Ovis aries: one gene and its partners. The protein of the gene in region 2 binds, or shares a complex with, the protein of the main gene of each other region. Links are inferred from orthologs where the notes say so. Each region holds a gene or a part of one and is shown on either strand. Other genes may lie near its edges.

Region 1 (3,753 bases), on a different chromosome or scaffold from region 2:
GTTTGCACGCCTCTGCTGCTGCTGCTAAGTTGCTTCAGTCGTGTCCAACTCTGTGCAACCCCATAGACGGCAGCCCGCCAGGCTACCCCATCCCTGGGATTCTCCAGGCAAGAACACTGGAGTGGATTGCCATTTCCTTCTCCAATGCATGACAGTGAAAAGTGAAAGTGAAGTCGCTCAGTTGTGTCCGACTCTTAGTGACCCCATGGACTGCAGCCTACCACGCTCCTCCGTCCGTGGGATTTTCCAGGCAAGAGTACTGGAGAGGGGTGCCATTGCCTTCTCCGCTGCATGCCTCTAGGGACAGTTAACTAATCTGTTAGAAACTTTAGTTTCTCAGTTTATTAAAGTATGCCAAACACAGAAAACTAAATGAGGTTTTAAAGGCCAGAAACTGGTTCAAGTCATCTTGTTTCATTTGGCAACTTACACTTACATAAACACACAGCCTTCATGAGACAATGAGAATATGGAGCACTTTTAACAAGTTATCTAGGCTTTCTATCCATGGCAAAATAGAAACATTATTTCAACAGTTGCCAAAGCTACTCTCTGAAATAGTCTCAGTATAGGAACACTAACAAATCTAACAGTGAACTGGAAATAATTACCATGAAAATGATAAAGCCTTAACTACAAGGCTTTTTGGATAATCTAGTAGCTAGTTTTAAAACTCACATAAAAAACAAGCATTTGGATGAGAAGTGAGAAGTACAAGGGTGATGCAGTCATGTTTAAAATAACATAAAAGGTTTAAAACTCATGAAAAGTGCACACGTATAGAAAAGAAAATGTGTGGGAGGGTCGATGAGAAACAACAGAAGTCCTATCTGCACAGAAGTCTTTTTATACCCTTCCATACTTTCTGAATTTCTTATGACAAACATGAATGATTTTATTTTTAAAATATAGTAGACTACTAGTTACTGGCATGAAAAAATACCCTCAACAGTGTGTGCATACTTACTGGCTTACTTGTTTCCAACTCTTTGAGAGCTGGTAGACTGTAGCCCACCAGACCCCTCTGTCCATGGGGTTTTCCATGCAAGAAATACTGCAGTAGGTTGCCATTTCCTCTTCCAGGGGATCTTCCCCACCCAGTGATCAAAGCCACCTTGTCTCCTGTGTCTTGCACTGCAGGTGAATTCTTTACCCACTGAGCCATCAGGAAAGCCCATTTAACAGTATCACAATGACAAACGCAGCTTACAAAACAATTGGTTTATCGTGATTTCATTTATGGGAAAAAAAAGTGTATTTTTATAGCTTTATTAAGTTCTTGAAATGACATAGCTCCAATTAATACAGATTACAGGTTTTTCTACTTCATATGTTTCTTTATTGTTTAATTGCTTTCAAAATAAAGATGGCTATCACTTTAAAATTTAGAAGAGATAATTTCATTTTGGGTGAAAAACAGTTGAAAAACTAAAAAGAGGAGAATATTAGGAAACACAGTAGCTCCAAGCTAACGCCAGAACTACACTAGATCTCCAGAAGACAAAGGAAATCACTCTGAATTCAAATACACACTGAATAAATAAATTCCTAGTAAAATTACTAACAGTTTACTGAAGGAAAACTGTATAAAAGGTTTTAAGAAAAAGGTTCTTTGGATGATAAGACCAAGTCAGGTAGGTGGAGAATATGGACTTTGATAGGTGCAAGCTTATTAGTTGTAGTTTCTTGACATAAACTAGTGATATTTAAGATGAAGAAGGTAATCATTACAGAAAATTTGAGCACCAAAGGTAAAGATGAACTCACAATTTGAATCTTACCAGAGGTTATGTTAATGTTTCCTGCTTCAATTCCTGCTTTGAGTCCTTCTTTTCCCAAAAGCCCAGATTCTCCTTTGGCCAGACGCTCCCTCTCCTTCTCTTCCAAACTTCCATAATAGATGTGTGGTTTCTTCACAACAGGAGCCACTAAGTCATCTGGTGCCTTAGTTTTGGTTGCCTGCTAAAACAAAGACCTAGGTTAACCTAAAGCTTAATCTTAGCAGCCTAATAGGTTTCGCAGCAGAATGAAGCTTATTTAGAGCTTCAAACCTATTTCTTCCCCACACAAAGGACAAACCAGACACCAGTTAAAATGTGTCTTCCTTAATCTGGGGGTGGAGGGAAAGAGTGGTTCCAGTCTCTTAATCACTTAAGTTTTGTAGATAGGAAGAGATGGATAAAACTAGTCAATTTCTCGTGCTGATTTTTCTGTCAAAGGTTTTCTCTTGAATATGTGTATTTCATACGGCTGCAGCAGGTGAAATCTCTTCTTGGCTTTTATGAAATTTCCACAATTACTGCTCATCACAGGGGTATCAAGGATAACTGAAATAACCAACGCGATGGTACGGGGGCCAAGTTAGAAAGCTACTGTTCATACATTTCAAACGTTTCGGATATGAAGCAGTAGATAAGTTAGGAGGCCTCGTTACAATTAAGAGTTCTGAAAGTGTCATAAATCTTGGCCAAGACTCTACTCCCTTTCAGAGCTCCGTTTCTGAACCAGACGGAAGAGATATTTACATTTCGGGGCTGGAGTGAGAGGTGAAAACGAGCTAAAACAGATGGAAGCACCCAAGAATTAGGAAAACACCGAAGCCTTCCTCCTCGGCCCTCCACCGCCGTAGCCCGTTCCCTAATGGCCCTGTTTCGCAGGGACCCCCCCACCCCCTCAGCGCTCCCTGCCAGAATGAGACCTGTACCGTGGAGGAGGGTCGTGAGGAAGCCATGCTGGGCTCCGGGGACGCGAAGCCTCAGCGAAAGCCGCGCTCTACGTTTCAGACCGTCCACCGCGCGCCCAGCAAAGCGGAACTACGTCACCAACCGGAAGTGGTCCTAGGTCCGACGCAGCATCCTGGGAGGCGTGGAGCATTATGGGAATCGTAGTAGGAGGGAGTCTGGGCGAGTTGAGAGATGTGATCTGTAGAGCCTCAGAGAGAAGCACGCGGAGGCCAAGGTTCTGCGAAGAGAGAAACTCAGAGGCAGTGTGGGAAGTGTAGTCCAGTTGGCTTAGCGGATGATTCGGGGTGGGCGCCGAGGTTCCGGAAAGGGACTGAACAGGCCTGAAAAGAGGTAGGTGCGGGGAATCGCGCGGCTGCGAACTGAACTCAGGGAGCGAATCGAGGGATTCCGGGGCCTACTATCGGCTCCCGGCCCGGCCAGGGGCTCTAAGTCCTCCTGGCGCCAAGGCCTATGTTGCCATGGAAACTCTCGCCCTGGACCCTTGAGTGCAGCCCAGGAGCTGCGGCGGGAGTGCTGTTCTCCTCCACTGTCAGGAAGTTCTCTTGGCAGTTTCTTCTGGGCTGGGTAGGTTTTCGGTGAATTTGGGCAGTGGTGAAACAATAAGTTCAAAGAGCCCTCTAGCGCCGAAGTGAAATAAAGACCAGGCGGAGGAGCCACGCCCCGCTTTTGCTGTCTTCAGCAGGTCTTTCTGTCTTATTCCGAGAGAGATGATGAATGTGAGGCGTCAGGTAAACTGCAAGCAAGCAACTTGCACGACTCTGCTGCCCTGGGTGCTGGGGCATCAGAGGCGGACAAGACAAGATTCTTGCCCCCTTGTAGGGCGTGAAAGTGAAAGTGAAGTCGCTCAGTCGTGTCCAACTCTTTGCAACCCCATGGGTTCTCCATCCATGGGATTTTCCAGGCAAGGGTACCGGAGTGGATTGCCATTTCCTTCTCCTTGTAGGGGGTGGAGATGCTCAAAATATTGATGTTTCCAGAGCTGGAAAGAGCCCCCTCCTCTCCCCTAGGC
Region 2 (3,744 bases):
CATTCCAGGAGAATAGTATAATCAAGTCCAGCCTCAATGTTGGAATTTTACTCACTTTAAAACAGCTGGGGTATCCAAACAGAGCTCGTAACAAGATGAGGAAGATCTCCCATTATCTGCCATTTCTGCAGAGGGAGATAGACAGTTAAATTGTTCTTTATACTAAAACCTTAGATTTCAAAAATTCCTGTTGAACGTCCCCAAAAAGGGCTTCCAAAATTATAAACTCATATTCTGCCCTTACACTAAGCAGAAAATAGAACATTAACATTTGTGTAACGCATTTCAAGTTTGCATTTTTAAAGACTATACTATTACATAGTATTAGAAGTTTATTAAAATAGAAATCGGGATAAAAGAAAAAGAATCACTTAAAAGACTAGAGAAAAATACTCCAAGTGAGCCCAATTAAACTGTTCTTACCAACAGGTTCCATTCCAAAAAGAGCCACCTGCTAGCAGTATAGCAATCTGGTCTCTGACCGCTACATAGGGATTAGAAAAGAACAATTCTGGTAAAAGTCCCTAAAAACTTACACTGACACAAAATCTGTCTCCTAGCTAAGAGTATCTTGCTGAGTTTTGCTCAGATATGAACAGCAAACAACCCTCACGCCTCTGCCATTCTAGCCTCGTGCTGAGGGCCACCGGGTCTGGACATCCCCTGATGCTTACTTGTCACCTGCAAGGCAGAACCCAGAACACCCACCTAAGTTACATCAGCGTCCACACAGCAGTGATTCACTTACTGAAACAGGGTCTTCATCCATCATCACTGACTTCTGCAGTCTCTGCCCTTAACCACTGTGGCTCAAGTCATGGGGAAATGACTTCTGGGCACCACCTCACTCCTGACCTCGGACCTGACAGGGAGGACCCAATTGGAAGAACCCTGCTCTCCTGAGTTCCCCAGGCATCTCTTCAAGCTCCCTCAACACCTTTCTGTCCAAGAGGAAGAGGAGGGTAAGGTTATCACCACAGACTCCTGCTCTGACTTGGATCTCCTTGAAGGGATTCAGAATTCCTGGGGGAGCTTCTGGATCTCATCTCAGATCTCCAGGATCAGACTCTCTGAGATGCACTTTCGGTGACAGACACAGAAAGATAGTCCCTAATGTTCAGAGTGCCATCACCCCTACCTCACTCTGCCTGTCCTACCAAAGAGGAGACAGTGAAAATTACTGATGGCAGGTCAGACTACTTTTCAATTCCTAAATACAAACTATATCCTTACACCTGTTACTCTTTACTCAAAGGAGTTATTTTAATCCAGCCCATACTAGCATATCTTACTCCTGTGAAATAAATGATGGCTTCAATGTTTCCCTTATTTTTATACTCTTTAATAAAATGAATAACCTCTCAAATTAACATTGAATATTAAACTTTTTATTAATACCCTAATATTTTTGCCTCTTGCCCTATTACTACAGTTGCAAAAATCTAAATCAAATTTACCTTAAAATACCCATGAGACAATTACAGAAAGAGAATTAAGCCCTAGTTACTCAACAGTACCCTACAATTGCTCTTTATTGTCAGCAAAGGGCCACAGACAACCCCCTGTACTAAATTTAAGGATTAGGAAAACTAGTTCTAACATTACAGTTCTACCTTTTCCCAGTGTTTCCTACACTGGTATCACTCTAAGCTATAAATCAAGTCACTTACAAAGAGCACCCTGGGGTAAAGAAGGGACTCAAAGAAAAAGAAGGGAATTTACTATGTTGTTACCATAGATGTTCTGCTCAATACATACAACAAACAAACACGGTACCAAAAAAAAGTCAAGTTTTTTAAACTAAGCCATTCAAAGTAAGCTCCTACACTCAGCCAAATGCTGCAAACGTGTTTTGCTCCTGGCACTATAGATGTAAATTTTTGAAAACACCTATGAGTTAAAACCGCTATAAATTAATAAGAATCACTTCTTCAAGGAGAGACATCATGAACCTCTTAAAAATTTGAGAATCTATGGAAACTTCTGCCAGTAAGGATATAAGCTATTCTGACCAATTTCAGGGAGCCCATCCTCATACTCCAAGGTATGTCTGTACTTCTGTGAATCCTACTGCTTCTCTTTAACCGGTGAACTGGCTGTACTTTTAATTCTTACCGGCAAAACAACAGCAATCCGACAGGATGCAAACACCAAACCTGGCGGCAGGACGTGACGGGAGGTGTGGCTGCTTTACCTTTTCAGCAATGCTGTACAGAACCTCATCCATCTTCATGCAGGTAGGGTCCCAGTCGTGCCCAAATCGAATGACGACCACGCGGTCTTCTTCCGAAAGGATGGCCTGATCAACCTGCCAGCCATTGTGCAGGTGCGGGAGCATGTACGACATCTTGAGCCAATGGGTCTGCGGGGGAGTGGAGGGAAATCACCGGCCAGTTCCTCCCAGCCCCCCCATGGCACACCCACGGGACCCCCCGCCCCACGGAGCCTCACCACGGGGGCCCCACCCCACGGAGCCTCACCACGGAGCCCACGGAGCCTCACCACCGAGCCCACGGAGCCTCACCACGGAGCCCACGGAGCCTCACCACGGAGCCCACGGAGCCTCACCACGGGGGCCCCACCCCACGGAGCCTCACCACGGAGCCCACGGAGCCTCACCACGGAGCCCACGGAGCCCCCGGCTCACGGGGGCTCACCCCGAGGGGCAGTCGATGCGCCGCCCGCAGGGCCAGGCCCGCGTCTACCAAGTTCCGACCCCGATCCCGCCACAGGAACGCCACTGTCCCCCGGCCAAGAAACCAAGGCGAGGGGACCCCTGGAATCGCACACCCGCGCATCACTCGCCGCCCCCTTCCCACCGTCTCCAGCCGCGCACCCACCTCTGCCCACACCGGACCCTCCCGCTCAGCAGTCCTTCCGGGCGCGGAGCGCTCCCACAGGCCGAGAGCGCCGGCGAGTGAGCCCGCCCGCCCACAGAGCGTGAGCGCCGGCGAGTGCGTGCGCGCGCCCGCAGAGCGTGTGCGCCGGCCAGTGCGTGCGCGCGCCCGGGCCGGGCAGGGGCGTGGACTCCGCTCAGGTACTGGGGCTGAAGGTGGGTTTAGTGTCATGAGCGTCTTAGAGGCGGCGGCTGCTTCAGACCTACTGTGTCTCCAGTGAGTCGGCGTTCAAGTTTCCTCGGTGCGACTGGGACCAGGGAGTGAACGAAGAGGATAACCTCTCTGAAGAAGGGCTCGTCGCCGTTCACTCCCACACAGAGCCCCCTAATTATTTTGGAGGCCCTGCTTTCCAGACGCAAGCACAGTTGCTTTACTTGTGAAAAGCGGTTCATTAACAGAAGAGTACTGGTAAGACGCAAATGCCCCCCAAATAAGTTATTGAAATTAGTATTTCTAAACATTTTTTGTTGTTCAGTTGCTCAGTCGTGTCCGACTCTGCGACCCCATGAACCGCAGCATGCCAGGCCTCCCTGTCCATCACCAACTCCCGGAGTCCACCCAAACCCATGACTATTGTGTCGGTGATGCCATCCAACCATCTCATCCTCTGTCTTCCCCTTCTCCTGCCCTCAGTCTTTCCCAGCATCAGGGTCTTTTCAAATGAGTCAGCTCTCCGCATCAGTTGGCCAAAGTATTGGAGTTTCAGCTTCAGCATCAGTCCTTCCAATGAACACCCAGGACTGATCTCCTTTAGGATGGACTGGTTGGAACTCCTTGCAGTCCAAGGGACTCTCAAGAGTCTTCTCCAACACCACAGTTCAAAAGCATCAATTCTTCAGTGCTCAGC
Region 3 (2,485 bases), on a different chromosome or scaffold from region 2:
ATCTACTATGTACAAGGTCTTTTTTATATACCATAACTCATTTAATCCTCACAACTATCCTGGGAGGTAGGTGGTGTTATCTACATTTTATAAACAAGAAAATCAAGGCTCATAAAATTAACTTCCACGAAGTCTCACATGTAGGAAGTGGTAGAGTCGAGATTCCATCTCCATTCCCATTCTTTTCAGAACACACACCTGCCTCTTCAAGAAGAGAGCTGTGGGACTTCTTGGGTGGTCCAGTGGCTAAGACACATGGCTCCCAATGCAGGGGGTTGGGGTTCAATCCCCATTCAGGGAATTAGATCCTACATGTCACAACTAAAAGAACCCACATGTCGCAACAAAATTGAAGATCCTGTGTGCCATAGCTAAGACCCAGGGCAAACAAACAAATAAATAAATATTAAGGAAAGAAGAGAGCTATATAGCTGATTCACTTTGTTGTACAGCAGAAACTAACACAACATTGTAAAGCAACTGTACTTCTCCCCACCAAAAAAAAAAAAAAAAAGAATTCAAAAGAAAGGAAGAGCTGAAAACATATGAATATTTTTTTAAGTTTTGTTTTTATTTTTTATTTTTTTTTATTTTTTTTATTTTTTATTTTTTTATTTATTTTTTTTTTTCTGTATCGCGCCGATCACATTTATTGGAAGGGTTGGAGAAAAATAAAAATGCCGTTTAGCTGAAGTATTTGTGAGTTATCTACAAATCAACTTATTTCAGGAGTGGAAGAATTCTTGCTTATTTTCAGCATCAAGATGCACATCGGTCTCTCTTTGGAACATCTTCCACACTCAAAGAGGCCACCGCACAGCACAGCCCGTCTCCCACAGGCGGCGGATTCTCGTTTCAGCCAACTCTCAATGGCGGGGCAACCAGCACAACGCCGTCTCCCCGCACAAAGAGCATCGGAATATTCCGTTTTGTTGATTTATATATTTCTTCATATGTTTCTTCATCAATTTCTATAGTTGTCACAGTTTCTTCCACATCTCCCAATATCATATTTAAATGTTGATCATAAGCGTGTAACCGGCCTCGAAGTTCTCTGTCGTTTCTCATCTTCACGTAGATGCGCTCGTCCAGGCTGAGCCGGATGAGATCCAAGGGCTCTTCCACAGTGTTGGTGGTTTGTTGCTGGTCCACGTCGTCCGCCATCTTTCAAACCCTCTTAAGTTTTGTTTTTAATGTGGACCGTTTTTAAAGTCTTTATTTGTTAAAATATTGCTTCTGTTTTATGTTTTTTTGGCTACAAGGCATGTGGGATCTTAGCTCCCTGACCAGGGATCTAACCCATATTCCCTGCAATGGAAGGTGAAGTCTTTCTTAACCACTGGACCACCAGGGAAGTCCCCACAAAACGCATTTTAATTGAGTGAAGAAAATAAAACATTTCATGTTTACAAAGACAAAAGACATAGCAAAGAACTTGTGGAAAAGCTGAAACCAAGAAAAATGAGATTTTTGGAAGTTGGAAGACAGACCTTGACCAAATGAGATCATCTTTAGGAAAGAAGTAAAGCCTGGATCCCAAATTCTCTACTGCGTTACCCAGTATTTTCTCACGTGATGATGTAGCAACCACTTGGTAATCATGGAGGAAAAGAATGACATCTGGAGCCAGGCCGACAAACCAGAGCCAGCCACGTAAGATGGTGCCGAATGAAAATACTAGCTTCCCCAAGACACTCAGAGATCTTTCCCCAGCTTTTGGATGGCAGAAGGCAACGACAGGGCTTGCAGCCAGTGCCCCAGCATCTTCCTCCTCACCCCTTTTGACTTTATTATTCCTGATAACCTGGTCATGCATATACAGCTACCAAACATTAAGTTTTCTTGAAGTCTCACAGCTTTGGGTTTTCTTACCAAGTCATGTGACTCAGATCTAGGCCTAGGAAGTAAACACTGTTTCCTGAATCTCAAATACCCACTCTACTTATGTTATTCTACACCTCCAAGAAGCTCTTGTCAAAACAAGATTAAACACGGCAAGATTTTATTAGGAGAAATGACTGTATGAAAGTAATTAACCTCCAATTAAAATAAATAAATTTATATTTAAAAAAAAAGAAAATAGAGAAGGAGCTGTGAGTGAAGCCTGACTGGTAAGGAGGGAAAGAAGAGAAAAGGATGTATGGAAGCAGTTGAGACTACCAGGCAGTCTAAGGAAACTTCTGCAAGACCTTGAGCCAAAGTTGTCCAACAAAGGAGTCCACATGTCTGCCTTAGTATCCCTGCTGTACTAAGTCATGGGTGCTTCCCTGGTGGCTCAGATGGTAAAGAACCTGCCCACCAATGCAGGAAACCCGGGTTCAGTCCCTGGGTGGGGAAGATCCCCTGGAGAAAGGAATGGCTATCCACTTCAGTATTCTTGCCTGGAGAATCCCATAGACAGAGGAGCCTGGCGGGCTACATGCAGCTGCAAAGAGTTGGACACGACTGAGCTACTGAGCACATTCATTACTGTGATTACTAAGGA

The links.
Region 1: TXNL4A (region 2) and PRPF4 share a complex: the UniProt entries of both Homo sapiens proteins name them as parts of the precatalytic spliceosome. The link is inferred for Ovis aries from reciprocal best matches to the Homo sapiens genes TXNL4A and PRPF4.
Region 3: TXNL4A (region 2) and U6 snRNA-associated Sm-like protein LSm3 share a complex: the UniProt entries of both Homo sapiens proteins name them as parts of the precatalytic spliceosome. The link is inferred for Ovis aries from reciprocal best matches to the Homo sapiens genes TXNL4A and LSM3.

Annotation. Positions count from the first base shown.
Region 1 is NC_056055.1:10,447,120-10,450,872, forward strand, and holds the start of PRPF4 (U4/U6 small nuclear ribonucleoprotein Prp4), read right to left. Parts: upstream 2,816-3,753; 5' UTR 2,732-2,815; coding exon 2,699-2,731; intron 1,963-2,698; coding exon of another isoform or gene 1,960-1,962; coding exon 1,782-1,959; intron 1-1,781. UniProt on the Homo sapiens protein: Plays a role in pre-mRNA splicing as component of the U4/U6-U5 tri-snRNP complex that is involved in spliceosome assembly, and as component of the precatalytic spliceosome (spliceosome B complex).
Region 2 is NC_056076.1:701,817-705,560, reverse strand, and holds the start of TXNL4A (thioredoxin-like protein 4A), read right to left. Parts: upstream 2,920-3,744; 5' UTR 2,841-2,919; intron 2,363-2,840; 5' UTR 2,348-2,362; coding exon 2,195-2,347; coding exon of another isoform or gene 2,116-2,194; intron 485-2,115; exon of another isoform or gene 424-484; intron 126-423; coding exon of another isoform or gene 56-125; intron 1-55. UniProt on the Homo sapiens protein: Plays a role in pre-mRNA splicing as component of the U5 snRNP and U4/U6-U5 tri-snRNP complexes that are involved in spliceosome assembly, and as component of the precatalytic spliceosome (spliceosome B complex).
Region 3 is NC_056080.1:116,710,649-116,713,133, reverse strand, and holds U6 snRNA-associated Sm-like protein LSm3, read right to left. Parts: upstream 1,178-2,485; 5' UTR 1,165-1,177; coding exon 856-1,164; 3' UTR 553-855; downstream 1-552. UniProt on the Homo sapiens protein: Plays a role in pre-mRNA splicing as component of the U4/U6-U5 tri-snRNP complex that is involved in spliceosome assembly, and as component of the precatalytic spliceosome (spliceosome B complex).